Elephas maximus indicus: one gene and its partner. The protein of the gene in region 2 purifies or fractionates together with the protein of the main gene of each other region. This does not show direct contact. Links are inferred from orthologs where the notes say so. Each region holds a gene or a part of one and is shown on either strand. Other genes may lie near its edges. The genes, in order: CALR and HSP90B1.

Region 1 (15,759 bases), on a different chromosome or scaffold from region 2:
CTAAACCTCATAGCCACGCGTACCAGATGTGAATCTGTTGAACCATCCCACCGTTCAACAGATCGTTTACTGAGTGCCTTCTATGTGCCAGGTGCTGTTTCTGGCACTGAAGTCACAGAAAATAAAACTCAACACATGGCCCTGCTCTCATGGAAACGACACTGGTGTGCGGAGAACAAAAGGAATATTTTTTTAAATAACATAAAGTGTGCTGAAAAATAATAAAAAGAAGCGTCCCCCATTCTATGCTGACAACCTTGGGCATTAAGACTACACAATATTTACTTAAAACATCTTATGTCACTAATACTATCCTACATGTATAGGTTATCATACACATGTAAGTTCTCATCTTATATTTGCCAAAATAGACAGGAAAGTTAAGCAACTTGCCCAAAATCAAACAAATAAGCTGGTCAAAAAACATAAGTCTATTTTCTTTTCTACAAAAAGTGGGTTTTAATGTCTCTCTTAGGGGGTAGCTGTGCAAAAAGTGGCAAGTACACCGGTTAACACACTTATTACGTTTAAGTCCTAAGCTCCTTCCAGCCAAAAACAGCGTAGTGTTCAGACCGTAAGCTCTCACACTAGGCAGAATAGAATTAGAATTCTAGCTCTGCCACTTATTAGCTATATATGACTGTAGTAAAACGAAGAATATCAGTTTCCAAACAACAAGCTGTTTTACACATTTAGTAAGACAATAGCACCAAAAAGCTCAATCAACTAGTAAAGAATAAATGGACCACTAAAACCAATACGATTCGACCGTTTATTATCATCTTCATCGCTGTCATCACTCCGCATCTCCCGATCACCAATCCTGGATTCAGCTGCCAACGTTCCGAGAAGCTGCCTGCAAAGCCGGGAACGCGGGAGCCCCCGCCCTGGAGAGCGCGACCCGGCCGGGAATCCGAGCCTACGGCTTCCTGCGCCCCGCGAGAGAGCACTGACATTGGAGCCGGGGCCTGGCGGGCGCCCCGGGGGTGGGGCCTCGCCCCAAGACTCGCCAGGGAGCGGCCGAGCCGCTGGGGGCTGGGTCGGGGACCATGGAGGAGATCCGAGGAGGTCCGGCAGGTGGGGAGACGACAGGACCTGACCCGCACCCACCTCTGCGCCCCTCTCACCGGGATCCCGGCCTCCCCGCCCCCACCCTACCCCCGGCACCCGTCGTAGCTCCTGCCCGCGGGGCTCAGCCCGGCCCGCACCGTCTCATCAGGTTCCATGCGGATCTTGAAGGTCTGCTGCTGCAGCGTTTTGAGCGTGATGGTGACGGCCATGGCAGGGCCGAGCGACGGATCCTGGCCCTGGGATCCTCACACAACATGCAACTCACGCCGCCGCCATCTTAGCGCCCAGCAGCGCCGCGCGCAGACCGCTTCCGGGGCAGATGGTGCGCGCGCCGGCCACCGTGCACGTGACCGGCGCGTGGCTCTTAGGTTCGTGGGCTGGGACCTGCGCGTCCTCTGACCAGGCATGCGCAGATTAACACCACTCCTGGGGAGCGGGGAGACTCCTTGCACAGCGCGCCCACCCGTCACGTGGCTTCCTGGGAGTGACGCCATGCCGGTTAGCGGTGACGTCATGTGGTCACAAAATGGCTCCGGTTTCCCCTGCTTCCACGCGGAAGTGACTTAAAAAATTATTTTTGGTGACGTTGAATAAAAGTTATGTACTTACATTTCTTCTGTTAAATGTTCATGTTTTTGCCCATTCAAATGAGCTTTGTATTATTCCAGCTGTGGAGCCTTGAATGTGGAAACTACTCAAGATGGGAAAGGATACCTGGAAAGTCACCAACAATTTAGAAAAACTCATTTGGGCGTGGAAACAGAAGGAGCACTGGAACGATTTTGTGGTTTCACTTATTCGCTCCTGAAGAGGATGATTTTTGGGGCCTCCCACCGCTGCTGCTATTTGTCCAGCCACTTTGGTCACAGAATCCTGGGTCTGACTCCAAAAACACTTAATGAAGACGTTAACTTAAAAGGCTTCCTTCCAATAAATAGCCACAGCGCACACAAAGGAATGGAAGCATGAAGGAGCAAGTGGAGGGAACAAGGGGAGTTAGGTTTGCCATCACAAAGCCCGTGTTTTGAGACTGGATGGCTTGGAGGAGCAGGCTTGATTCCCAGTTAGGGTATCGAAACTGGAAGCCTGGAGGCCAGAGGAGGCTGTGGCAACAAACCTGACCTTTCCCCAACTGACCATCATTAGCTGCCTCCAAACCTGCTGCTCTCACAGTTCCCATCCAACTCACCCAGGCTGGGCACTGGACAGTCCTCACCAACTGCCCAACAACTGTAACCAAGTCATGCTGCCTCTCTCCACTCCATGCCCTGAGCCTATGCAAACCTCCACCAGCACCAGCCAGGAGCAGCTTACAGCTTCTTACCCTCTCCTGAAACAGGGTCCATCAACTCCCCCATCCTCCTCACTGGGCTTTCACCATCTTGCCATAGGCAGCTTCCTGGATCTCCACCTCTGCTCTCTCTGCACTACCTCAAGCCCTCTTTCCCCTCAACGGGTTCAGACCCCATCATGGCTATGGCTACAGAAGACCACAGGAACTTGGGGTTGTGCTTGAACCTATTTCCTCGATTATAAAAGTAAATAGCTTTTAACTCCAGCTGGTATTAAAAAAAAGTTTAAAAGCACTAACAGCCATGTAATCATTAGGTAATAGGGACAGAAAAAAGCTCAATGACGAGATAAACCATGAGACAGTGTTCAGGTGTGGATTGAAATCCCTGCCCCACCACTAAGTTCTGTGCCTCAGTCTCCTCACAATCAAAGCAAATAGGTAACAGAACTAAAAGAGTTAATACGTGGAATATTTTTTAACAGTTATCCTCCGATTTGGGCTCACTAGACAAGCAAGGGCCTTTGTAACCTTGTGGGATGACACTCAGCCAACTCTTCAGCAGCTGAAAAATGAAAATTCAGAGAACCCATTACTTAGGAGCCAACCCCCCCCCCCCGAAAAAAAGGCCATCTTTGGTTCCCAGATGTCCATCCTCCCCCGAAAAAGGAAACACAGAAGGAAGACACAAAACTTAATTTAATAGAAATTTTGCATGTAGTTCTTACATTCTCAGTATGAGCTGAGCTGGAACCTGCTGCCCCACCCAGAAGTGGCCCAGTCCTGGGAGTAGGGAGAAAGTGGGGGCAGAGCTTGGGCCCTAAGAGCCCCATTCTTTCTCAGTGCTGGGGGCGCTGGGATGCCACCCCTTTCTCCTGATGCCCCCCGGACTCCAGGAAGGAGAGCAGATGGAATCTCAGGCCTGGGCTTCTCCACACCCACTCCCTGACCCCCAGGCTGGAAAGGAACTAAGGGATTCAGGCAGAGAACAGAGGAAGGAAAAGATGTGAAGAAAGATGAGACCCAGGGGTGGGGGCTGAGGGAGAATCAAAGACAAAACACCAGTAAAAAAAAAAAAAAAAGGAGGCGGGGACAAAACCAAAACCCACCCCAAATCTGAAACCGCCTGGAAAAAGTGAAAGTTCTCCAGTCTCATAGAGACATTATTTGGCGTGGCCGGCTCTGTGGCAGGAGCGCTCAGGCCTCAGTCCAGCCCCAGAGGCAGGTGGCATGGCCTCTACAGCTCATCCTTGGCCTGGCCCACATCTTCCTCCTCATCCTCCTCTTTGTCCTCTTCATCCTCATCATCTTCATCTTTGTCCTCCTCTTCTTCTTTGTCCTCTGCCGCCTCCTCTTCCTTGCGCTTCTTGTCCTCTTCCTCTTCCTTTAGCCTCTGCTCTTCGTCCTGCTTGTCCTTCATGAGCTTTTCTGCAGCCTGTGGGCCCAGACCATACACCTCAGAGCCTGTCCCCTACCTGCCAGCCCTGTCCACCCCCAAACCCAGGCCTGGGGCCGGCCCCACCTTTGTGACACCCCACGTCTCGTTGCCAAACTCCTCAGCATAGGCCTCGTCGTTGGTGATGAGGAAATTGTCAAAGATGGTGCCAGACTTGACCTGGGGGTGAGTGGAGAGAGAAGTGATTAGAGATGACACTTGGTGGCCCTAGCCTTGGACGAGGCTCACATCTGTGTTCCTATATTCATTTTATGCTACCTCGGTCTCTACATTTCTTTATAAACACATGTACAGAAGAATAGCATTGCTAATATTACAGTTAAAAATAGACAGGGACTGCAGTCCACCCACCTGACTTTAAAATCCCAGCTCTGCTACTTCTCATTTCTTCACTCACTTATAGTTATCAAGTACCTACTGCGTGCCAAGTACTCTTCTAGGCGGAATATACACCGGTGAACAAGGAAACAGACACACAAAAATTCAGAACTACAAATGCAAACTTCTAATGGGGTGATCTAACCGCCTTATGGGCTGGGAGAATTGAGTTGATTCAAATAAAGGTATTTGAGAAAACTACCTGGCACACAGCAAGTGCTCCCTAAAAACAGGCCAGGAAATACTTCAAGAACAGAAAAAGGATCATTTTGGAGTCAGACCTACCTGCATTTGAATCCTACCTCCTCTGTTCCTTGTCTTCTGGGTTAAGATTCTGTCACTCCTCCCCCCCAGGATCCTCCTTCCTCCTCCCGCTGTGCCTCACCTGCCAGAGATCTAGGCCCAGCACAGCAAAGCTGTCATAGGAGTAGATGTTAGCATCAGGGGAGTACTCGGGGTTGTCGATCTCTGGGTGGATCCACTTGCCCTTGTAATCTGGGTTGTCAATCTGCCGGGGTTTCCACTCACCCTGTGGAGGATAAAACCTGATGGTGGGCAAAGTTCTGTGCCCTCTCCACCATACACCCCAGCCCTACTCAGAGCCCCAAGCCCACCTTGTACTCAGGGTTCTGAATCACGGGTGGTTCCCACTCTCCATCCATCTCCTCATCCCAGTCCTCGGGCTTCTTGGCATCGGGATCAGGGATGTGCTCAGGCTTGTCCCAGTCCTGGGCGTACACAAGGAGGTCAGAGTCAGCTTGGCTTTCTGTCCTCCACACCCTCTACTGTGGACAGCCCTGGCCTAAGCACCAACCTCAGGCTTGGAGTCTGTGGGGTCGTCGATCTTGGCCCGCTCATCCCAGTCTTCAGGCTTGGCAGCACTGGGATCCTTTATCTTCTTGGGTGGCAGGAAGTCCCAATCATCTTCCAAGGAGCCTGACTCTACCTGACTGTTGTCGATCTTCACCTCATAGGTGTTATCGGGCCTCACGATCAGAGTATACAGGTGTGTGAATTCATCATCCTGGAGAGGGCGGGAAGTGAGTGGTCCCGCCCACCCGGCTGGCCTTGGATCCTCCCTGGAAGCCCTCTGCCACCACCCCCAGGCAAACCTTGCAACGGATGTCCTTGTTGATCAGCACGTTCTTGCCCTTGTAGTTGAAGATGACATGAACCTTCTTGGTGCCTGGGCCACAGATGTCAGGGCCTAAGTGGGAAACAGGTTCAGTTAGAGCCAAAGGCTGCCCACACCAGGAGCTCCCACCCCTCTTTGCAAAAGACTTCATTCTCAAAATCCGTATGTTAGTATAGACCATCTTTTAAGTCTAATAGACTGTGTGTAGAACCTTAAATTAAAAAGTTATCACTGCAGAACTTAGTATCCTCATTTATAAAATGAGGCAACAGCTACTAACGATAACACAGACACTTATAAATCACCAGCATAAACTCAGCTAACTGTATCTATTCTCCTAGCTTTCCTGCTATGGAAATGAGTGTCAGTAAGTTCTTTCTGTAGTCTCAGGACCACCTTTCACGGTTGAAGAGCCCAAAGGAAGGGTACAGAAGTCACCACTGGGCAGGGCCCCTCACCAAACATGATGTTGTATTCAGAGTCCCCATGCATGTCCGCCTGGTCTAAACCATCAGGAAACAGCTTCACATAGCCGCCCCCACAGTCGATGTTCTGCTCATGCTTCACAGTAAACTGCACTACCAGCGTCTTGTCTTTGTTGCTGAAAGGCTCGAATCTTGCCGACAGGGCGTAGAAGCGGGCGTCCTGGCTTGTCTGCAGCCCTGGCATAAAACGGTGATGAGGACACAGCTAAACCACCACCCCCAGGACCCTCGGCTTCCCACAATACAGACAACTCCCTTTCTCTACTGATCCTACTTCTGGGGATGCCCAAGTTCCGTATAGAGACTAAGGCTTCCGCCATAAAGTTGTCCCAGATCTGGGCACCCACCCCCAGGTTCTTACCCTTATCTTTCTCCTGGTCACCGTAGAACTTGCCGGAACTCAGAACGAACTTGCCAAAATCCGACTTGTGTGTGGATTCGACCCAGCGGTCGGTCCACCCATCTAAGGAGTCAAAGGAACACGTCAGGGTGACCGCGCTGACCATTCACCCCCCACATCGCCGGGGGCCACAAGCTCCTAGGAGCAGGTAAGGAAATCTTCCCTGACACCCCCCACCCCAACCTCTAGTTTGACACCTCAAGCGAACGCTAACCCCCACCGCAGGAGGCAGCTGCGCCCTCGGCGCTCCCCAGGAACGCAGGAAGGATCGCCTGCGGCTCTGGTCCCTGGAGGCCACAGTGTTGGTCCTTTGAGCAGTAATTACAGACAACGGAGATCCGAGCCGGGGACCAGCCGCGTCCTCGGGGCACCTTTGGGACGGGACCAGGTATTACCTCCGTCCAGAAACTGCTCCTTGAAGTACACGGTGGGCTCAGCGGCGGCCAAGCCAAGTAGGCCGAGCAGCAGCGGCACGGGTAGCAGCATGGCGGGCCGAAGGGGGCGGTGGCACGCAAGCCCTTTAAGACACTACCCTGCCAGCGGCTCTGCAATAGGGACGGACGCCGTCAGCGGCCGTGCGCTTTTATACCCACCCGCCTCTCAAACCAACCTGGCCCAGCCTTTGCACCCGCCCTCCGTGCTTTATCATTGGTCTGTGGCTTCGAACACCCCTTTCCATTGGACTCTTGCCGGCTCAGCATATTAGGCTGTGCCTCGGAACGCTGGGTTCCCAGATGGCCGATTTCTATTGGCCCCACCGCAGGCCAATGAAGGTCGACCACGCGTTGTGGGGGACGCCCACCGGTGGGGTGGGGGCTGCGAGCCTCTCTGGCCAGGTCATGTGACTAGCCCTCAGCCCAGCCCAGTCCTCGCTCGCGCGCATTGCTCCTCATCTGGGCGTTTAAAGAACCCGCGCGAGCGCAGGTGTCACCGCGCTGGGCCGATGTCCTTCCCCAACCTCGCCGCCTCCCGTCCCCCCTGCGTAGAGGGATGAGCACGGCCTTTGGGCTTTACAAGCCACTCAGCTTTATACCCTGCATTTGAGAAACAACCCTGACGGTGGGCTTCCCCTTGCCCTAGAATGGGGCAGAACTCAGGCGCTGGGGTCCTAGGGCGTTCCTGCACCCCGGTGCCAGGGCTACAGCCATGCAGGCCAACCAGGTGGGTGCTAGTTCTCCTCCCCATGGCCTCCAGTGCCTCGGAAACTTGTCAGACTGCTGCTTTGTGACCTGGGGCAAGACACGGCCTCTCTGAAATCACAGGAGTTCCTGAGAGGCCAAACGCCCCTGGCCAGCTCCTACCTGGCAGAAATGCCTTCAGCGCTTTTAGAGGTGTACAGGGACAGAGAGAAGGAAGCCCAGAAGGCTCAAAGATGTGGCTCCTAGAGTGAAGATTGTGTTGCTTCCTTAGTTACAGCCTCCCCTTTGCTCCCCCCTCAGCCTGTAAATGAAAAGGGTCGCCGTCTTGTGGTCTCCCACAAACCGTCTAGCTTTTGCAATTAAACGGCTAAGGGCAAGAGGGCAGGGGGTCCGTTGAAGAGGAAAAAGAGAGGCAGACGGTAGGAAAGATAAGGTCCAAGGGAGAAGGATGGGACCCCTGGATCTAGAGTCTTCTGAAGCCAGAGGCATGAGACCATACCAGATCCCTGCCCCCAGGCTGCAGAGAGGAGGAAGGAGGGTAGGGATTTTCCGGTCTCCACATTTTTTTTTTAACATAGTAGGCCCTAGACCTGGGAACGAGGAAGTGGACTGTGGAAAGGGGAGCGGTGGGAAATCCTGGGACAAGGGCATGGAAGGGATGCTTTTTTAGTGGTGAGGAGTCCAGAAGCGGAGGAAAGAAAGGTCTCGAAGAAATAGAGGTACTGCCCCTTTCCTCAGTCAGTATTTTCTGTCACCAGCAGAGGCAGATTAATCAGTAAGCAACGCACAAACCCCCAGTGGCACAGCAGTTAAGAGCTCGGCTGCAAACCAAAAGGTTGGCAGCTCAAATCCACCAGCCACTCCTTGGAAACCCTATGAGGCAGTTCTCCTCGGTCCTATAGGGTCACTATGAGTTGGAATTGACTCACAGCAACATATAGTAAAAACAACGTATGCATGGGCTTAGTTTTGTTTATGGACTAATCTGTAGTACACAATGGTTTCAAGTGAAATTGTGCACTACAGGTAAGTAAATAAGTAAAAGTAAGCCCGTGTGTACCTTGCTTATTGAATAATCTGTCCCTGGCACCAACCTGCCCCCCTCAAAAGGAGGCCCAGGTGCAGGGTGACTACCCCAGGCCTGCCACCCCTGTCCTCAGTGTCCTGGACAGAAAATGGGCTTGTGCTTCCTGCCTGAGGGTAGACATTGTGCCTGTCTTGTTCTCACTATTCCCCAGTGTCTACTGCAGCACCTGGCAAAGAACATGCTTAAAAATGACTTGCCGCATGACAGAAAGAATGAAGGACTCTTGTGGGAATGAAATAAAAACAGGGGAAGTGCTTGGAAACTAGCCTTACCTAGAGAAAGGACTCTGAGAGACATGTCTCCCTGACACCTGAGGCAGGTGGGTCAGGATTGGGTATCCCCATTTTATAGACTCAATAATTGTGACGGTTAACTGAATAAGTGTGTTTGCTCAGAAAAGTGGCTGACATATGGTCTACACTCACTCAGTATTAGCAATTACTGCATACATGAGTATGCACTATTTCACTTAATTTTCACGATAACCTGGGCTTTTATCATCTCCACCAGGTGAGGAAACCAAGGCACAGAAAGATTAAGCGATTTGGCTGAGTGACATAAATGGAAGAACTGGAATTTGAATCTGTTTGCACCGTCTAATAAAGTCAGTCACATGTGACTACTAGCCCTGTAAAATGTGGCTAGTCCAAACTAAGATATGCTGTAAGTGTAAAATATACATCAAATTTCAAAGAGTTAACTAAAAAAGGAATGCAAAATATCTCAGTAACTTTCTTTTTTTAAATAATTTTTATTGTGCTTTAAGTGAAAGTTTACAAATCAAGTCAGTCTCTCACATATAAACTTACATACACCTTACTACATACTCCCACTTACTCTCCCCCTAATGAGTCAGCCCTCTCCCTCCTTCCAGTCTCTCCTTTCATGGCCATTTTGCCAGTTTCTAACCCCCTCTACCCTCCCATCTCCCCTCCAGGCAGGAGATGCCAACACAGTCTCAAGTGTCCACCTGATACAAGTAGCTCACCCCTCATCAGCATCTCTCTCCAACCCATTGTCCAGTCCATTCTATGTCTGATGAGTTGTCTTCTGGAATGGTTCCTGTCCTGGGCCTACAGAAGGTTTGGGGACCATGACCGCCAGGATTCTTCTAGTCTCAGTCAGACCATTAAGTCTGGTCTTTTTATGAGAATTTGGGGTCTGCATCTCACTGTTCTCCTGTTCCCTCAGGGGTTCTCTGTTGTGTTCCCTGTCAGGGCAGTCATTGGTTGTGGCCAGGCACCATCTAGTTCTTCTGGTCTCAGGATGATGTTAAGTCTCTAGTTCATGTGGCCCTTTCTGTCTCTTGGGCTCATAATTACCTTGTGATCTTGGTGTTCTTCATTCTCCTTTGATCCAGGTGGGTTGAGACCAATTGATGCATCTTAGATGGCCGCTTATTAGCATTTAAGACCTCAGACTCTCAGTAACTTTTAATTGAAGATATGTTAATAATAACTTGGATGTATTGGGCTAAATAAGATGTTAAAATTAGTTTCACCAGTTTCTTTTTTTTGAACACAATTTCTTTTTTTTGAACACAGCTACTAGAAAATTTAAAATATTTATATCTTGCATTACATTTTAATAGGACAACAATGATCTAGACTATCCATTACTGTTCAAATGCACCAGCCACTCCATGGGAGAAAGGTGTGGCATTCTGCTTCCATAAAGATTAAAGCCTTGAAAACCCTGTGGGGCAGTTGTACTCTGTCCTATGGGGTTGCTATGAATTGGAATTGACCCAGTGGGAATGGGTTATGTTGGGTTTGATTGTGACATTCATCTTGGAGCATGGGGGATTAGAATCTAGAGGGTTTACCATTTCTGACCCCACCTTCACCAACTCACTATAGAACCTCGGGCAAATCATTACCCTCTGAGCCTCAGTTTTCTCGTCTGTGAAATTGGGATTATGTCAATATCTACATCACATGGTTTTGTGGAGAAATGAAATAATACACAAGAAGTACTTAGCCCTAGGCCAGGCACACAGAAGGTAGCCTTACCTAAGTTACCTGCTACTTTGACTATTATTCTTTTTAGTGAAGTCCCTCCCTCCTCTATGAATGGGGATAGCCCCTATCCAGCCTCCCTTTGAAAGTTTAAAAGTAACTGAGAACAGCAGAGGGACCATCTCTGAAGCCCACCACCCACCGGCCTTTTCAGTGCAAGAAAAAATTCAGAAGAGCAGAAGATACCCAGGCCCAGAGAGGGTGCAGTCCAAGGTCATACAGCCCGCTGGGTGTAGGGCTGGATAAAAACCCGAAACAACACTGTCCTTCTGACCTTGAGGTCACCAATATGACCCCTCTAGTCAACCAGACTTCCAGGGCAGAGGTGGGAAGAGTCTCTTGGCTTACCTGACACACTAAAGATGGCGTCTCTTGGAGCGCCGCACGACTGCTTCGCCACACTCAAGATGGCGTCACACGCTCCTGCCGCAGGTTCCGGTTCCGGCTCCTTTGGCCAGGCTGGGGCACGGAGAGCGTGGTGGGAGCAGCAATGGCGGACAGTCCTGTGGCAGAGCTGCTACTACGGCGGCTAGAGGCGGCCGATGGAGGCCTGGACAGCGCAGAGGTAGCGGCCGAGCTAGGCGTGGAGCACCAGGCCATGGTGGGAGCCGTGAAGAGCCTGCAGGCCCTGGGCGAGGTGAGCTGGGGCTGTGATGCCAGCCCTCTGCACTTAAGTACCTGCCGTGGCTGTGCCTGACGGGCCCTGCCTCCAGGCCAGACCACGTCAGGCCTGATGAGGGGTAATTGTATAGCATATGTGTACAGTCCGGGGTGCGCAGGCAGGGTTCTGGAAGGAGTGAGGGCCTGGGCTAACTCGCGTTCATTCATACAACAAACGTCCACTGAGGCATGTTTGGCGTGGGTGGTGCGATTTTGGACAAGATGCGATCGCTGCGGTCATGAAGGTTGCAGGCTAACGAGGAAGATGCTCAAGTGACCAGAGTGGTGGGGCAAGCACAGGGAACCCAGAGGTGACAGCTGACCCAGCCTTATGGGTTAGGGAGGCTCCTGGAGAAGGTGGCAGCAGGGTCAGATCTCTGCACTGAGAATAAAAGCCATGGCACTTTAGGATCAATGGGAGGGGGCAGACAGGTGGTTGCAGAGACCAACAGAGCCATAATTTTCGAGGCCTTCCGGATGTTTATCTCCCAGGAGTGCAGGGGAGCCATGGCAGGAGCTGGAGCCAGGAAGACATGCAGGCAGCCGGCTTCAGGGGCTGTCAACATCAGCTTTGAGAAGGATATGCAGGGACAGAGTCTGCCACATCCTCGAGGTGAAGGAGTTGGTGTTTGGCTGTGGGAGGCAGCTGGCATGGAGCCGAGGCACGGCCTGAGATTCAGGGCAAGGCAGGAGAAGCACAGGTGACAGAGCCACAGGAGGAGGATGCTGAGGGGCCTCAGCATGCCATAATAGATGGCAGACTCATGAGGCCAGGACTCAGGAGGCAGATCTTGGCAGTTTATTTGTCGAGTTCACATTCTGTGCCCTGTTCTGATCTCAATTTGTCCAATCCTGGGCACAACCCTAGCATAATGACACTATTATCCCCATTTTGTGGTTGTGGCAACTGATGCTCAGCACTGTTCAGTAACTTGGTCTCAAAAAGTCAGATAAACCCCAATGTGAGATTAGGTGCTCTGGCTGCAGAGCCCAAGCTCTTCCCCACCCGACAGTACAAGAAGGTCATCAGTGCAGGGGAAAGATCGAAGCTGAGGTGTATAGGGCTTGGCCAAGTGATACTGACATTGATGTAGGTCACAGAGTGCCAAGTAGTGGCAGTTTAATGTGGTTCAGCGTAATGACTGTAATGGTAATGATAACAACAATAATGATAGGAAATAATAACTTAGTAATAACAGAGTTTATGCAGGATTTACCATGTGTTAAGCTCTTTGTAATTTTCACGGGTATGAATTGGTTTACTTTTTGCAACAACTGCTGAGGTAGCATCCATCATTATTCTTTTCTTATGCATGAAGAAATTCACTCAAGGAGGTTAAGCAACTTTCCTGAGGTCACACAGTGAGTGAGGAGCAGAGCTGAGATTAGATCTGAGGGAGAGCGAGGACCTGTGGGCCCAACCAGCCCTGCCCCTGTCTGCTTGACCCTGGAACCGTTATCCTCGTGCCTCGGATTCCTCACATGGACCTTCCCTGACGCTCTGGGATGCTGACACAAATCAGTTTACCTGAGACCTTGGAATCTGTCGCAGGTTTTCTGCCAGGCAACGTCATTAGTACTTTATCTCAGTGTGGGAGGCATGAGCTATCATAATAACGAGGCTCAGCAAGGGGAAATCCTTAAAGAGATTTCTCAGCTGGAAAGTGGCAGAGCTGGGATGTGAACACAGGCATCTGGCTTCAGGGGTAGTGCTGTGGTGAGGGGATGCCTGGCTCTGAACCCCACCCCTGCCTGTGCCCCTTTCCCCCATTTTCCTACAGATCATTGAGGCCGAGCAGCGTTCCTCCAGGCGCTGGGAGCTCACCACTGAGGGCGAGGAGATTGCCCGGGAGGGCAGCCATGAAGCCAGGGTGTTCCACAGCATCCCCCCAGAGGGCCTGGCTCAAAGCGAGCTCATGGTAGGGGCCTGGGGGGCAGAGGGCAGGGCTCAGGGATGTGATGGTTGCAGCCCTTGTGCCCCACTGACTGCAGCCTCTCCCCTAGCGACTGCCCAGTGGCAAAGTGGGCTTCAGCAAGGCCATGTCCAATAAGTGGATCCGCGTGGACAAGAGCACAGCTGATGGGCCCCGAGTGTTCAGAGTGGTGAGTCCCTGCAAGCAGGTGGATGGGTGGGTGGGTGAGCCCCTTGCCCTCACTGTCCCTCACAGTCCATCATCACTGCAGGTGGACAGCGTGGCAGATGAGGTGCAGCGGCGGCTCCGCCTGGTCCAGTGTGGGGAGGCCGAGAAGTTGGGAGAGAAGGAGAGGAGCGAGCTCAGGAAGAGGAAGCTCCTGTCTGAAGTGTGAGTGGGCTGGAACCCCAATGTCACCTGCAAGGTCCCAGAGCTGGGTGTAGGGAGGGAGCAGACCTGCTAGTATGGGGCAGTGAGTGCTGGCAGTCTCCCCCATCCTCCCATACTGAGCACCTACTGTGTGCCACGCAGGGTTCTGGGCCTTGTGGCTATAGCCGTGAACCAGACGGGGCTTGGGGCTCTGCTCTTACACAGCTGACACCCCATTGGAGCAGATGCAGGGTGGTGCAGGGTTACCAGAACACAGACTGGAGTTGGCTCTACCACTTAGCTGTGTGATCTTGGCCAAGTTACCTGGTCTTTCTTGGTCTCCATGTCCTCACCTACAAACAAAATGGTCTCTTGTCATAAGGAATGAGTTCAGCGGAACAGCCTGGCACGGAATTAGTCTTCTAAAGGCTATCTGTGGTGGTTGTTCCCAGCTGTGTTCTGTGGTTTTCAACCAGACCCTGGCACACAGTATGTCCTCAACAAGCGTCTGTTGAGCAAAAGAACATGAGGAGATGGGGGGTGGGCAAGTAAGAGAATTTCAGGTGATGCCAAGTGTCAGGAAGGAAATAAAGCAGAGTGACTTGGTGGGTGGTGTTGGGGTCAGTGTCAGATAGAGATCAGGGAAGGCCTCTTAGAGGAGATAGCAGTGGCATCCCCTCCCCTGCTCTGGCCACAGGATCCTGAAGACCTACTGGGTGAGCAAAGGGAGTGCCTTCAGCACCAGCATCTCCAAGCAGGAGACAGAGCTTAGCCCTGAGATGATCTCCAGGTACAGGGCGGCCCCAGCGTAGGCGGGGCAGGTGGGGCTGTGCAAGGGGTGGGGGGACAGCCCACACTGGACCCTGGCACCCTACACTCCACCCACAGCGGCTCCTGGCGGGACCGGCCTTTCAAGCCCTACAACTTCTCAGCCCGTGGTGTCCTCCCCAGTAGTGGCCACCTTCACCCCCTGCTCAAGGTCCGCACCCAGTTCCGGCAGATCTTCCTGGAGATGGGGTGAGCATGGGGCTGGAGGCAGGGCCAGGCCAGTGACTGGACATGGGCACAGGCAGGGCAGTCAGGCCGCATCTTCCTCCAGGTTTACTGAGATGCCCACCGACAACTTCATTGAGAGCTCCTTTTGGAACTTTGATGCACTCTTCCAGCCCCAGCAGCACCCAGCACGTGACCAACATGACACTTTCTTCCTACGAGGTGGGTTTTCTTCTGAGTTCTTAGCACTGTCAGAAATTAAGTGGATTCACATAGTTGTTGTTTACCTAACAGGAGAGCAGGTGGGTCACTTGGGTGCCTGGCTAGAGAAACATTGTCCTCATCGCTGCCATGACATCTAATGCTGACTAAGCACTTAGTGCGTGCCAGGCTCCATTCTTGCCTTCCCACAATCCTTAGAAAGTTGTACTGTTAGCCTTATTTTACAAATGAAGAAACAGGCAGAGAGAGAAGGTCATTTACTCAGGGTCGTACAGCTTGGAAGTGAAGTCAAGATTTGATCCCAGGCTTACCGGGCACGCCAAGGCCACATCTCTGGAAGAGCACAAGAATTCACACATTTGTGTAACAAACGTTCACTGAGCCCTTTCTGCGCGCCTGAGTTTCTGTTAAGCACAGGGGTCACAGCCACAAACGAGACAGGGAAGTCCCTGCCTTGGTGAGACCTGCATTCCTAGTGGGGGGGTCAAGTGTTACCTCTCAAGCGATCTGCATAGTAGAGTAGATGGCAGTAAATGCACCAGGGAAAACCAGCACGGGGCATTGGTGTCAGTTTAGAATAAATTGACGTGCAAAGACTTCATCAGGAAGGAGTTGTTGAAGCAAAGACCAAAGGAGGCGAGGGAGGGAGCCATGTGGATGGCTGATGGAGGGAAGTTCCAGACAGAAGGAACAGCCACTGCAAAGACCCTGAGCCTGGTAGGAGGAAACACATCATTGAGGGGGCTGGGGAGAGTGGAAGAGATGAGGGCAGGGAGGTGATAGGGCAGAGTGTGCAGGGCCTTGTGGGTTGTGCAGTTTTTACTGCCACAGAGGGCTCTGGGCAGAGGACGGCTGTGGCTGACTCAGGTGCTCACAGGCATCCCCTGGCTGCTCTGGGCAGGAGGGTGGGTGCCGCACAGTTGCCTGTGTCCTCCGTGCGGTGGCTTCAGGCCCGGTGGGTAAGTGCTTGTTGACCAACCAGTTGATGCTCTGCTTCCGCCAGATCCGGCCGAGGCTGGGCAGCTCCCGATGGATTACGTCCAGCGGGTCAAACGAACCCACTCTCAGGGTGGCTACGGCTCACAGGGGTGAGGCAGGCTGAGGGCCTTGGGGTGTGGACGGGGAGGTGGGTGGGAGTTCAA
Region 2 (15,295 bases):
GCTAATCCTTATCCGGTTCGAACTGGTTCAGTTATGGCTGATGAGGCGAAACCAGACAGACCCGAATTTTTTCAATTTGGGTGATCCGGAACAATAACCAGAACAGGAAAAATGACAGGTTGAAGCTCTGGAATGGGAGACTTGGAAGAGGCATAGTAGGTCCTTTCAGGAGCCTGATGCAGGAGACTGGATTATTGGTCGGGAGAGCGAAACGCAAAGTGGAGCGATCACACACCATCTTTGAGCTAGACACTGCTGTTTCTGAATCTGCACAAAATTCAATAGGCAAGAGATTTGGTTGCTATGCAATACATACCCTGCCCTTGTTTTCTAAGAGGGAGATTAGGTTTCCAGCAGGGCTTCCACTGCTATTTTTCCCGTTCTGGTTACCATTCCGCTTATCATTCCCAGTTCACCCAAATTTTAAACATGGGTCTGTCCCATTTTTTGCTTCCTTGGCCAAGACAGAACCAGGAAGAGCCAGATCAAAGCCCCACTCTTAGGTCTCAGAGTGAATATTCTTAGGTAAGAAGGCACGAGGCTGATAAGCTAAGCAAAGCTCGGCAACCTCATAGTGCTAGAAAGACAAAAAGTGAAGTTCAGGGCCCACCAAGGAGGAGGTAGTGAATCCACTAGGCTTTCTGTTGCATTTTCTGGATGCTCAAGCTTGGTTAAGAAGGTCACCTTATTGCCAGTTTGTATTCACAGGCTCTCTTATTTTCTTCTAAGTTGGAATTATTTTTTATATGATACAAGTTAGGAGCCTAGCTCTATTTTCTTTGAGATGAATAACTAGTAAGGCCAGTACACTTTATGAAGTAAACTATCATTTTCCCTCTGAATTGAAATATCACTTTTATCATGAATTAAAGTGAAACAATCTATTCCTGGATTCTTTCTTTTGCTGCATTGATCTATTTGTGTATAGCATTGAATCCCCTTCATATATGTTATAGATTAAATTATGTCCCCCCAAAATATGTGGAAGTCCTAACCCCTGTATCTATAAATAGGAGCCTACTTGAAAATCAGGTTTTTGTTGTTAATGAGATCATACGAGAGTAGGGTGGGTCCTGAACCTAATCACTTCTGTGAAGTATCCCATAAAAAGCAAAAATAGGCATAGAGAGACACACACACACACAGAGAAGACAGACGTCATGTGAGGGCCCACCTACAAGCAAAAGAACACCAAAGATTGCTAAAAGACACCAGTTCACAGAAGGAATCGACATAGCTTTAATTTGAACTTTTAGCCTCTAAAACTGTGAAAAAATAAATGTTCTTTAAAGCCACCCACTTGCAGTATTTTTTGTTACAGCAGCACTAGGTAACTAAAACACTATATTTTGGGGAAAACCTCACCTTATGATTCTGAGTCCATCTCTCGTGAAAGAAGCTGAAAATGCCAGATACAACCTTCCCCAGCTTCCCTTGCAGCTACGTGTGATAGCCATCCTTCAAAATGACTACAATGAACTCTGCCTCCTGGTGTTAACATCCTTGTATAATCCCTTCCCTCAATGAGTAGGGCTGACTTGTGTAACCACTAGGATTTGACATAAATAACGGTATGTGATTTCTGAGGTTGGTCATAAAAGTCATCGTGGCTCCCACCTTACTCTCTCTTGGATCGCTCACTCCGGGGAAAGCCTGCTGCCATACTGTGAGGCCTAAGAGAGGGCCAAAAGTTAAGGAACTGAGGCTTCCTGCCAACAATCAGTGGAGAATTGAGGTCTCCTGCCAATAGCTATGTAAGTGAGCCATTGTATAAGTGGGTCATCCAGCCCCAATCAAGCCTAAGGCTGACTGCAGCCCTGGCCAACATCCTGACTACAGCTTCACGAGAGACTATGAGCCAGAACTACCCAGCGAAGCATTTCTAGATTTTTTTACCCACAGATAACTATGTGAGATAATAAATGTTTATTGTTTTAAGCTGTTACGTTTTAAAGTAATTTGTTACACAGCAATAAATAATACATAGATACGGCCACCTCACCCAAGTTCTTCATTTAATATTATCCTATCTACTGTAATTTTAATGATAATAATCACTGCAGCAATGCTGCTGGGGTTCTAATTAGGTTTCTACTTGAAACTCTTTCTCCCCAGATAGCTACATGGCTAACTCCCTCATCTTCCTCAAGTCTTTGCTCAAATGTCACCTTTTCAACTAGACCAGTCTGATCACACTATTCAAAACTATAAACTACACCCCTACATCCCCCAACACTCCTGATACGCTTTCCTTCAATTTTTTTTCCATAACACCCCTGTCTACCATACTAACTAGATAGTAGACAAGGATCATCTTTGGTAAAGGGAAGGACAACACACAATACAAGGGAAGTCAGCACAGCTGGACAAAAGCAAAAGCTAAGAAGTTTCCTGGACACATCCAAACACTTTGAGGGACAGGGTAGCTGGGGCTGGAGCCTGGGGATCATAGTTTTTGGGGACATCTAGGTCAATTGGCATAACAAAGTTTATTAAGAAAATGTTCTACATCCCACTCTGGTGAGTGACGTCTGGGGTCTTAAAAGTTTGCAAGTGGCTATCTAAGATACATCAATTGGTCTCATCCCACTTGGAGCAAAGGAGAATAAAGAAAAGTAAAGACACAAGGACAATATTAGCCCAAAGACTAATGGCAACCACTTGAACCAGACACTCCACCAGCCAGAGACCAGAAAAACTAGTTGGTGCCCCGTTACCACCGGTGACCACCCTGACAGCGAACACAACAGAGTACTGGACAGAGCAGGAGAAAAATGTAGAACAGAACTCAAATTCACGTAAAAAGACCAGATTTAAATGGTCTGACAGAGACTGGCGGAACCCCCAAAACTATGGCCCCCAGATGCACTGTTAACCCAGAACTGAAACCATTCCCAAAGCCCACTACTCAGACAAAGAGTAGACAGGACTATAAAACAAAAAATAATACACGTGAGGAATGTGCTTCTTAGTTCAATCAGATATGAGACCAAATGGGCAGCTCCTGTCCAAAAGCAGGATGAGAAGGGAGCAACGGACACGAACTAGTCTAATGGACACAGGGAAACCAAGGTGGAAAAGGGAGTGTGCTGTCACATTGTGGGGATTGCAACTAATGTCACAAAACAATATGTGGATAAATTTTTGCATGAGAAATTAATGTGAGCTGTAAACTTTCACCTGAAGCACAATAAAACAATGATAACAAGAAAAAATATATATTCCTAGTGCCTAAATGGTACCTGGCATACAATTGGCTCTCAAATATTTGTTGAATGAATGAATGAATTTTTATATTAATCTTAGGAGAACTGACACTTTAATGATAAATCTTTCCAGCCAAGATCATGTCTTTCTATCAGTTTAAGCCTTATTTTCTATTCTTCAGTAAGATTTTATAATTTTCTTCATGTTGGAGCTATGTCATTCTTAAGTTTATTTCTAAGCATTTTACAGTATTTATCTCTAATATGAATGGAATTTTTATTTTAATTTCTATGAATTTATTACAAGAGTAGCACAAGACTATCAATTTTATATATTTATCTTACAGTTAATGATTTACCAGATTTCATATGCATTCTTGGGCTTAAGCAAAACAATTGTCAGGGTGGCGCAGGACCGGACAGTTTTGTTCTGTTGTGCACAGGGTCACTATGAGTCGGAATCAACTCAACAGTACCTAACAACACCATATTTATTCATGCATTTTTTTAAACTACATTATCTTGGGTTTCCTGAATATACAAGCATGTCACCAGTAAAAAGGAATTTCAAAATAATGGACTTCAACCTCTCTAAAGTTTATGCCAAGTACTTCATTTTCTTGTCTTATTGTTGGACCAAATGTGTGGCCCAATACTGGCAATAACAGGCATCACAATCGAAATTCCTGATTCTTACTGAAATGGTTTTTAGTGTTTAGAATGATAGTTATTTTAGTTTTTTTTAATGAGGTATAATTTATATATAATAAAATCCACCCTTTTTAAGTACCGTTGGATGAGTTTTAACCACCACAATTAACATCAAGAGCATTTCCATCACCCCAAAAAGTTCCCTGATACACCTTCATAAAAATCATAGTCATTCTTTTTATATTTTTTTCAGTTAAAATAAGATACATGTATTTAGGATGTAACTCCACTGTTAATATTTGTTCAAGTTTTATACAGAGGCTGTATCTTCATTGCTCTTCTCTGTAGCCAGCACCTAGCATAATACCCGGTACATTCCGGGTCCTCAACACCTGCTGAATTAATAAATGAATGAGTGGATGAATGAACCAATCAATGAAACTACCAATTCCCCTCGGGGCTTGGCCCCATTCCTTAATGTTCCCTGATGCCACCTGCTTTCCTTGGTCTCTCCAGTCTGCCTTCTCCCTGACTCCCCACTCCTGAATTACACCTGCCTACTTGGTGATCTATCTAACTGCATCCCTTTGCCTGTTTTTTTCTTTCCAAATTCAACCACAAAGTAGAGTGCTGTCTAATGGGTTGCCTCTGTTGAAGAAGCAGATTAAAGAGAACAACGAAGGTAGCTGTTTCCAGAAGTGTCTATGGAAATATAGTGTCAAAAAGGGCAAACTGAACTTGGGATGCAAAGGAATCAGATCCAACGGTGGTAGCTGAAGTAACCATCTGGAGTGTTAATCCTGGAGCAGCTAGGCCAAGATGGGAACTGGGGATCAGTAATGGGTCAAAAGTCAGAAGAGCTGAAAAGATCACGGGAGAGAAACAGGAAAGCTAAGAACCAAGAAAACTGCCCATTATAGGTTGAATTGTGCACCCCAAAAATGTGTTGTAAATTCTAATCCTTCTACATGTGGATGGACCCCACAGTGGTTACGAGCTTGCTGCTAACCAAAAGGTCAGCAGTTCAAATCCACCAGCTACTTCTTGGAAACCCTATGCGCCAGTTCTACTCTGACCTATATATAGAGTCACTGTGAGTCGGAATCAACTCAATAGCACCTAACAACAACATACATGTAGATAAGGAGCCCTGGTGGCACAGTGGTTAAGCAATCAGTTGCTAACCAAAAGGTTGGCAGTCCAAATATACCAGCTGCTCCATGGGAGAAAGATGTGGCAGTCTGCTCCCATGAAGATTATAGCCTTTAAAACCCCATGGGGCAATTCTACTCTATTCTATAGGATCTCTGTAAGCCAGAATCAACTCAATGGCAGTGGGTTTGGTTTTTGGTTTTATACATGTGGATATAAGGAACACTGGTGGCACAGTGGTTAAAGCACTCAGCTGCTAACCAAAAGATCTGTGGTTCGAACCCACCAGCTGCTCTGTGGGAGAAATATGTGGTAATCTGCTTCTGTAAAGATTATAGCCTTGGAAACCCTACTCTGAGTAGTTCTACTCTGTCCTATAGGGTTGGAATAGATTGGATTGGCAATTGGTTTGGTTTATATGTGTGGACCTAATCCCATCTGGGAGTAGGATTTTCTTTGTTATGTTAATGTCATGTCAGTGTAGGGTGTGTCTTAAGCCGATCACTTTTGAGATATGAAAGGAGCACATTAGGCAAAGACAAAAGGGAAGGTAGCCATGAAGATGGCCAAGGAACCAAAGACCAGGAGCTGAAAGGACAAAGATCCTCCCCTAGAGCCAAAAGAGAGAGAAAGCTTTCCCCTAGAGCCAGTGCCCTGAGTTAGGACTTCTATCCTCCTAAACTGTGAGAAAATAAATTTCTGTTTGTTAAAGCCACCCACTGTGGTATTTCTGTTATAGCTGCATTAAGAAACTAAGACACTGCCCATGCCTTTTACAGGATACCCAACCAGGAATCTAGTCTTAAAAGAGATTCTAAAAAGCAGAGCTGAACCAGACAATGACCAGTCATCTGCCAGGCTGCCTTGTGCTCTCCCATCTCATCTGCAGAAAGACCTACCACAAGCATGGCTCTATTTTGGAGGGCATGTGTCTCTCTCAGTTTCCTCCAGGTGCACAAACTACCCACCACTGACCAGTTAAGATGGAATTTGCAGTTTCAGAACTGGTTGCTTACTTGTTCAGAACTAGAGACAAAGATGAAGTTGAGCTGTGAAATGCAGAAAAGAAAAAGAATTCAATTTTTTAAAAAAAGAATTTAAAAATGTAACTCGCACTCTGGTATATGCTAAAGGAGAGACAGGAGAGGGGTGAGATGGGAGCGCAACAGCATAAAACAGGCTTTGTAAACTATCCTTTGCTTACTAATAACAATCGTAGGTAATTTGGGTATATGTAAATAAAGGACCACCACAATGGGTAAATACTAACCACAAAATCAAGACAGGCAACCTAAATAGGGGAAGTTGTAAAAAATTATGGCAGTCACTGAAAAACTTGTCTTCAGGAATTCAGGTAACAATTATCTAAAAACTAATTCAAAGTTCAGTTTTCCTAGAGGAAGCAATAAGGAAGGCTGGTGTGTATATTGGGAACCCAGTGAGGTGCGGCGTAAGTAAAGACAAAGGCAAGAGGACGTAGAAAATATTTCGCAGCTCAGTGACAGGGGCTTCCCTCACAGACAAGACACCTGGTTTTTTCTGTCTTTCTGAACGCTGACAGGATATTTCAGTGAAGTTACAAATCCGCACTCTTTTTCTCATTTGCTGCACCACAGGTTTTGCTTTCAAACATCCGCAGGTGTATCCTCCTGCACCGGTTAAACTAAGCTGCTTCCTTTTCTGTGCTAGAATGGACTTTATGACTACGCTTCTCAAGGACTACTTGGTCACCACCTTTGCACATCGAACTGGTTCACGATTTGCCTCAGGTGGGGAAAAAAGTCTACCACCTCGGCTTCTGTAAACCAAATCAGGGAGAAGGAATGAAGGCCCAGGCTGTCCAAGTGACGCAGGAAAAGCCAGATTCAGAAACGCGCGTCCATGAACCTTGAGACGGCGCCCAGACTCTGAGAGCTCGGACTCGGGGTCACAGGAAGGCCTTGGCCAAGGTGTGACGGCTCTGTAGGCCCACTTCTAAAGGCTGTGTACACTGGAGATTTCTCCAAGAGGCACAGATCTCTAACACAATCAGAAAGAAGTGTAGATTCTAAAGCACACAGCACAGTTACCGCAAAACCTCCCTGGAAAAATGTGAAAGAGCCACAGACTACGATTCCCAGTGTTCATTACAGTGAACCCCTAATACGTTGCATGTCGGGAACTGTAGTTTATCGCCACCCCCATGAAAAGCGGTCGGAATTTTCAACCTCTCACGTGTTTCTCTTTTCCGAGAAGAACGGCCAAGTAGAAAGCTGAGAGAAAAGTAGTGCTAGAATCTCTTCCAAAGTGATTCTATGCATAGACAGGAAATGGTAAAGAACGCGTTGCCATGGATACCGTTTCCCTTGGTCACGGAGTAAACGCGCTCTAGGAACCGGAAGTAGTTCCCTTGCGACCTCTTAAAGGATGGGGGTGTTCCGCGCTTACGTTTATGGGGCGGTTTCTCTTAGGGGCCAAAGATTCCCAGGCAAAGGGGCGGTCCTGCGTGTGAGGAACCCGCGGAGACATTTGATTGGAGAAAAGAGGCTACGGATGACCAATCGAAAGGAGACACGCTTCGGGCACCGGACACCGCACCTGGACAGCTCCGATTGGTAGACAACGGTCCCCCCGACGAGTTCCCATTGGGTACACGGGGTGCGTGGTGCGGCGTGATTGGCGGGTTCGTGTTTCCCGTCCCCCGCCCGAGAGGAGTGGGGGAGAAAAGCGGCCCGACCTGCGTGGGGGTAGTGGGCGGACCGTGCGGCTTGAGGTGTGAGGAGCTAGTCTTTTGGGTTGGAGGCGTGGAGACAGCTCCTGTGATCCAAAGAGACTTGAAACCTATCACTGGCTGCGCGCCATGAGGGCCCTGTGGGTGCTGGGCCTCTGCTGCGTCCTGCTGACCGTTGGTGAGTGATCCGGGGCAGCAGGCGCCCCCCGATGCCTTCCCTGCTCAAGCGTAGTAGTTTCTCGAAGGTTCTGGGGGTGTTCAACCAGGGAGGGGGGCAGTAGAAGCTGTGATGGGCCGAGGGGCCAGTCGCCTTTCCTCGAAAGATACGGAATTTAGTTTACCCCCTTCCTCTGGAAAAAAAAAAGAGAGCAAAGTCATTTAAATCTCCTGAGCTCATAGTATCCGCACCCAGAGGTCTCAGCCACCTCGTGGTGGGGCCCGTGGGCTTCGTCCCACCCACCCGGGAACATTGTTGGCGCCCTTTCCAGAGGACTTTTGTCAGTCTCTGCGATCTCTGACCATCTGAGCTTGAGGACCCCCGCCCCAGTCTTTTGGACTCCTCGCGAGCGCACGTTTCCTTTCTCAGATGCTGGACTCGGGAGCGTGGGGCCTTGGACCCGGTGGGAAGGACCTGTCTGCGTGTTTGATTCAGTCTTGCTGGACCCAGATTCTTAACGTCTCTTCCGCTTCTCAAGCCCCCGGGCCCCGTTTCAGTTCCCCTCGCCATAGGTTGCACAAATATTTTTGTATTTTGACCTGTGAAAACGAAGCCCTAAGTTTTGGCTTGGTCAGTTTGGAGGCCGTGTTTCGGCTTGCGCGCGTAACACGTGTGGATGTAGAAGGGTCTTAGTATCAATCTTTTCGGCAAAGACCGGAGGGCTATATTTAGAAGCGATGGTTGCCTCCATATTTCAAAATCTGTTGGGGGACCTCAGCGTCTGAACGTTAATAAGAAATATGCTGACAGTGGGTTTACGTTGCGTATTTAAACTAGTGGATCCATTCTTCATCTCCACCTCCCCTGTTTGCCAACTAAATTTTGCAACTCCTACTACCCTTGCCCTGTTTGGTCATACTCCTTCTGAGAAGTACACGAAGCAATAATATATTTAAGAGTTTTCTGGTGTTAAATCTTCCTTCAGGGTCCGTCCGAGCAGATGATGAAGTCGATGTGGATGGTACGGTAGAAGAGGATCTGGGTAAAAGTAGAGAAGGTTCTAGGACGGACGATGAAGTAGTACAGAGGTTTGTGTTCATTTGAAACTATACAGATAAGCCCTCTTGACTTTCTGATAAATGTTGTGGAATACAGAAGCTACTTTTGTAACTCTTCTCCAAGGGTACTAGATAAAGTGTTGTGGTTGTTAGTTGCCTTCCAGTCTATTTTAACTCATGGTGAGATAAAGTGTAACAGCTGGTGTTTATAAATACCTAAAGCAGTCAGAGAGCACTTTAAGGCTGTGTATGTTTGTACATAGGATCTTCTGATTCCCAATATATCTATCATCACCTATCTCTAGAAATGATTGATCAAAGTTGAATTAATTCCTTTTGATAGCTACATTGCCGAATACTAGCCCCATAAACTTCAGTTGGTTTTGTCCTCAACTCTTTTGGTATATGCATTTTAGTAGTAAAAAAGATAGGGTTTCCATCTGTTGAATAGTGTTTGTACATTTGACCTCAGACTTCATGACAATTTTGTAGACCTTGCTGTGAGTTATGTCTTTGCTGTTCAGTGGAGGAAAGTTGGGGTTATTTTCCTGGCAGTTTTAAGAGCTGAATGTTTCCAACTAAGTGTTAAAGGTAACCTACTATTGTGTTACAATAATAATGAGATGAGGATTAGTAACATTTTATAAAGGTTTGCATTTTATGCTTTTAAACCTCGAGACAGTCATCGGAGGCTCTTAATGCTGTCCTCACAGATCTGAAGTTTTTGTGGGGAACTAAGCAATGCAGTATTTGCTTATCTGTTTTCTTAGAGAGGAAGAAGCTATTCAATTGGATGGATTAAATGCATCCCAAATAAGAGAACTTAGAGAGAAATCTGAAAAGTTTGCCTTCCAAGCTGAAGTTAACAGAATGATGAAACTTATCATCAATTCATTATATAAAAACAAAGAGGTAAGCGTCATGTGGTTAAGGTAGTATTTTATCTCTGTATGTAGTATACTTAGTCTCACAGTAAATTTACTTTCACAGTAATTCCATGTAACTAATTAAAAAGCAAAAAAACCCAAACTCATTGCCATCAAGTCGATTCCAATTTATAGTGACCCTATAAGACAGAGTAGTAGAACTGCCCTGTAGGATTTCCAAGGAGCAACTGATAGATTCGAACTGCTGACCTTTTGGTTAACAGCCAAACGCTTAACCAGTGTGCCTCCAGGGCTCCACGCACTGGTTAGTGAGGTTTAAATATCCGTGTGTGTAAGGATTGCTTCTAGATGCTTACCATATTGTTTAGGGAGGTAAGTGGGAAATGTTAGACATTTTCCCTCCTCTTTCCTTTTCCTCTCCACAAATGATCATGCCTGCTGAGTAGTTTTGAGTCTTAAAGACAATCACATAAACGGAGCCTCACTTGTTGCAAACATAAAGATCACAGTCACGCAAACTGAGCCTCACTTATTGCAAACATAAAGATCACTGGTAGGTGAATAGAGTTTTGCCTTTTATCAGTTCAGGTATCCCTTGTAGATGTTACAGTCCTCTTTTTACCAAGAGAGTACCATAAGGAGAAGTATTCCTTGGGTGAAGAAGAGAAAATGGATTTGACATGAAATTCATTGTATTGTATATCTTGAGGCTAACCTAAATGTGTCTTAAATCTGGCTTCCACTTAGATTTTCCTGAGAGAACTGATTTCAAATGCCTCTGATGCTTTAGATAAGATAAGGCTAATATCACTGACTGATGAAAACGCTCTTTCTGGAAATGAGGAGCTAACGGTCAAAATTAAGGTAAGCTTAAAACACTTCTTTCTTTTAAAGCAAAAAGAATCCTTAAAGATAGGGAATCCATGACAGTAAAGTTAGGCTGGGTTATCATAACCCATTGCCCTCAAGTTGATTCCAACTCATAGTGACCCTGTAGGACAGTAGAACCGCCCCATACAGTTTCCAAAGAGCAGCTGGTGGATTCAAACTGCTGACCTTTTAGTCTTAACTACTGTGCCACTAGGGCTCTGCACAATAACAGTTCCCAAATCTCAGAGACTAAGTCAGGAGTCTGCAACCTATGGGCCAATCCATCCCGTTACCTGTTTTTATAAATAAAGTTTTGGAACACAGCCATGCCCATTTGTTTATGGATTACCTATGGACTGCTTTTGTGCTTTAACAGCAGAGTTGAATAGTTGAGCAACAGAGACCATATAAGCCACAAATCCTAAAATATTTACTGTCTGGCCCTTTACAGAAAAGGTTTGCCAACTCCTGGCTTAAATCATCGATCAGATGCTGCCTATGGCTTTTTTTCTGCATCATTCTCATTCCAGGACACAGGCTAATTGAGCAGCCACCATCTGGAGTGTAGCTGGTTGCCATGGTACAGAGAGAGCTCAGGAGGGTCTCACACCCATTGAAGTCTCCAGCCTGAAAGCAGCACTCATGACTCCCACTTGCTACTTACTGGCCAGAACTAGTCACGTAGCCTCACCCAAGTATATAAATGGACCAAGTATAATCCTGCTATGTGCCTGGACGGCAGAGAACTGGGAATATTTAGTGTACAATAATGATCACCACAGATTACAAATACAGCAGTCATTCACATTTTGGGCCCTTTTACTTTCTATCAAAGAAAAGGCAAAACATTTTTTTGTTTTTCAGGTCAACCTGTGCCCTGTGACATTTAGACCAGTCTTCGCCTTTTCTATTTTGATAGTATCTCATAGCAAAGTACTGAACATCAAAATTTTGTTTTTAAATCATTGAACTGATGTATACCAGCACAGTTTAGATCAAACAGGAGTTTTCTCATTTAAAGAAAAATGCTTACATTTTAGGATGTGTACTTTCTGAAAACCTCAGAAAATACTGTATAGAGGAAAATGTCTCAATTTAATTTTCTATATTAGAATTGATGTGGCCCAGAGCTAGTAAGTTCTCAGTTCCTAGCTCAGCATTTACTTGGCACACCATACTTAAGCAGGCTTAATACTTGTTCTTATCTTGATTTTAGTGTGACAAGGAGAAGAACCTGCTACACGTCACAGACACTGGTGTAGGAATGACCAGGGAAGAGTTGGTTAAAAACCTTGGTACTATAGCCAAATCTGGGACCAGTGAGTTTTTAAACAGAATGACCGAGGCACAAGAAGAAGGCCAGTCAACCTCCGAATTGATTGGCCAGTTCGGTGTTGGTTTCTATTCTGCCTTCCTTGTAGCAGATAAGGTTATTGTCACATCTAAACACAACAATGATACCCAGCACATCTGGGAATCGGATTCCAATGAATTTTCTGTAATTGCTGACCCAAGAGGAAACACTCTAGGACGGGGAACCACAATTACGTGAGTATTACTAATTCCTAGTAAGAATTAATAGTCTAGGGTATGCGTTGCAGAGAAGAAACAAACAAAAAAAAAACTATTGCTGTCGAGTCAATTCCGACTCATAACAACCCTATAGGACAGAGTAGAGCTGCCCCATAGAGCTTCCAAGGAACGTGTGGTAGATTCGAACTGTATCTCTTGGTGCTTGTAACACTGAAGTAGACCGTGCAGCTTTTTGCTTTTTGTTGTTAATTTTACCATCGTGGAGATAAATTTCCATTTCAAAGGTTAGGGACTTGTCCAGTCCTGTCAAGTGAGTAAGAGAATGTGTCTGCAGCTCCAGTTTTTTTTTTTTTTTTTCCCTTGATTCATAGTTTAAAAATTTCCCAACACTAAGGATTTAAAATTTTTCAAGTAGGGAAGAAGCTTATCCCTGTTATTTTGACCAATTCAGGCTACAAGCTAACATTTTTTGTCTTCATAGTCACAAATATTCTTTTGGTGAGATCTAATTAGTTGACTGTATTTTAGGATTTTTCTAATTTGTTTCCAATTTACCTTAGTATTCACATCTCCAAATCTCATTAAAACCAAAAAGCCAAACCCATTGCCCTCAAGTTGATTGTGACTCATAGCAACCCTATAGGACAGAGTGGAACTGTTCCATAGGGTTTTCAAGGCTGTACTCTAGGGAAGCAGACTGCCACATCTTTCTCTAACAGAGCAGCTAGTGGGTTTGAACCTTTCGGTTAGCAACCAAGCGCTGTAACCACTGTGCTACCAGGGCTCCTTCCAAGTCTCATTGTTAGGTGCCGTGCTGTGAAGTTGGCTCCAACTCATAGCTAGCCTGCACAACAGAATGAAACCCTGCCCAGTCCTGCACCATCCACACAGTTGTTGTTTTGCTTGAGCCTGTTGTTGCGTTAGGAGTTACCACTCACTAATAACTACATCTTAGTGCCCTCTGTTTAGCATAGTGGGCTTGGGTGTTAGAGGACTGTAGATAAATCAGATCTCTGACTTGTTAGGTGATGTTGAGTTGGTTTCTACTCATAGCAACCCTATGTACAAGAGAACAAAATACCGCCTGGTCCTGTGCCATCCTCATGATCATTGTGATGTAGCCACTGTGTCAGTCCATCTCATTGAGGGTCTTCCTCTTGTTCGCTGACCCTTTGCTTTACAAAGCATTGTGTCCTTCTCCAGGGACTGGTCCCTCCTGATAACATGTCCAAAGTACATGAGATGAAGTATTGCCATCGTTGCTTCTAAGGAGCATTCTGGTTGTACTTTTTGCGAGACAGATTTGTTTGTTTTTCTGACAGTCCATGATATATTCATTATTCTTCGCCAACACCGTAAGTCAAAGGTGTCAATTCTTAAGTCTTCCTTACTCATTATGCAGCTTTCACGTGCATGTGAGGCGATTGAAAACACCATGGCTTGGGTCAGGCACACCTTAGTCCTTAAAAGTGGCATCTTTGCTTTTTAACACTTGGAAGAGGTTTTTTTGCAGCATGTTTGCCTAATGCAATATGTCGTTTGATTTCTTGACTGCTGCGTCCATGGGTGTTGATTGTGGGTCTAAGTAAAATGAAATCCTTGGCAATTTCAGTCTTTTGTCCATTTATCATGATCGTGCTCATTGGTCCAGTAGTGAGGATTTTTGTTTTCTTTATATTGAAGTGTAATCCATACTCAAGGCTGTGGTCTTTGATCTTCCTCAGTAAGTGCTTCAAGTTCTCTTCACTTTGAGCAAGCAAGGTTGTGTCATTGTGTAATGCGGGTTGTTAGTGAGTCTTCCTGCAATCCTGATGTGCCATTTGTCTTCATAAAACCCAGTTTCTTGGGTTATTTGCTCAGCATACATGCTGAAATAAGTATGGTGAAAGGATACAACCCTGACTCAACCTTTCCTCCTTAAACCACATGTCTGTTAGTTTGTAATACTGTGAGACTCTCTAACTAGAAAAAGAGAAAAGTGATGTCCCAAAGAACATTAATGTTTTAGGGTGCTAAGAAACAGGAGAAATTATCTGAATGTAAGCTTCATGAAAGCAGGCATTTTGTTTTCTGCCCCATCTCCAGAGCTTAAATATGAATGATTACGGGTAATCAAGACAGTTTTATGCAGGTGGCATGCGTGTGTGATCAGTAAATGAAATTTGTAAGATTTTCCTTTCTCTTAAAAGTCTTCCTACCCTATCACTCAGTGAGCTCTCTTTTGAGTACCTATTATGTGTTAGAGTTTAGGGCTACAATGGAGATTAAGACCAACATAGTCCCTGCTTTTACAGGGCCTAGTCTAGTGAGGAAAGGAGAATATGAAGTAATTTCAGAGTGACAAATGCCAGAGAAGAAGCTAAGGGGACACTGTAGTTTTTCAGGAAAAAGATATCAGAACACCTTTTGAGAACAGTGGTAAGTTAGGTTGAGAACCCGAAGGGAAAGATGGGAAGTGCAGGTAATTCTACCAAGCAAGAATTAGAAGTTCTGGGGCAAGAGGACATGATGGCATAATTGAACTGACAGTCTTCAGTGGCCAAAGGAAAAAGAAAGAGACAAAGCACGGGAGTGCTGAGGCCAAGAACGTGCCCCACATATGTCGCCTCATATTTAACTAATAAAATAGAAGCCTTCAGACCACTGAGTTTTCTGCCTACTCCTTCTGTTCCCTCCCCTAAAATAGCTGCTGCTGTACTCTTAGGAGAGATCTTGTGAGGATTAAATGAGATGATGAAAAGTGCTTAGCATCCAGTAATGTTAACCGATGTAATGCTTCTATCCTTCCTTCCATAAGAGGTGTTCTGCATTTTTTCCTCAAGTTAATCCCTCCACTTCGGATCTGGTGCCTCCTCTTCTTAATAGAGGCCGAGCATAAATGAATCCCTCCCCCATCTATTAGAGTCACCCTTTCCCTCACCTGAGTGTGTAAACGTGCATAAGTCTATCTCTGTGGGGAAAAACATGCTATAGGCCCTTCTGTCTTCCACATATGCTCTTTTTTCCTTCCTCTTTATAGCAAGCTTCTTGAAAAAAGCATACTTGCCTTTGCTGCTACTTCATCTTCTTTT

The links.
Region 1: the proteins of HSP90B1 (region 2) and CALR fractionate together in Homo sapiens (co-fractionation; 4 studies listed by BioGRID, with this or other methods). This does not show direct contact. The link is inferred for Elephas maximus indicus from reciprocal best matches to the Homo sapiens genes HSP90B1 and CALR.

What each region holds. Positions count from the first base shown.
Region 1 is NC_064821.1:31,595,545-31,611,303, reverse strand, and holds CALR (calreticulin), read right to left. Parts: upstream 6,785-15,759; 5' UTR 6,703-6,784; coding exon 6,612-6,702; intron 6,280-6,611; coding exon 6,178-6,279; intron 5,994-6,177; coding exon 5,790-5,993; intron 5,404-5,789; coding exon 5,309-5,403; intron 5,221-5,308; coding exon 5,011-5,220; intron 4,925-5,010; coding exon 4,811-4,924; intron 4,726-4,810; coding exon 4,582-4,725; intron 3,978-4,581; coding exon 3,885-3,977; intron 3,798-3,884; coding exon 3,600-3,797; 3' UTR 3,044-3,599; downstream 1-3,043. Other genes in the region: RAD23A (UV excision repair protein RAD23 homolog A), read right to left, coding at 1,209-1,280; FARSA (phenylalanine--tRNA ligase alpha subunit), read left to right, coding at 7,298-7,377, 10,893-11,097, 12,902-13,039, 13,125-13,223, 13,305-13,423, 14,100-14,192, 14,291-14,419, 14,502-14,617 and 1 more. UniProt on the Homo sapiens protein: Calcium-binding chaperone that promotes folding, oligomeric assembly and quality control in the endoplasmic reticulum (ER) via the calreticulin/calnexin cycle.
Region 2 is NC_064822.1:170,640,806-170,656,100, forward strand, and holds the start of HSP90B1 (endoplasmin), read left to right. Parts: upstream 1-7,711; 5' UTR 7,712-7,848; coding exon 7,849-7,897; intron 7,898-8,861; coding exon 8,862-8,964; intron 8,965-9,704; coding exon 9,705-9,846; intron 9,847-10,568; coding exon 10,569-10,685; intron 10,686-11,907; coding exon 11,908-12,239; intron 12,240-15,295.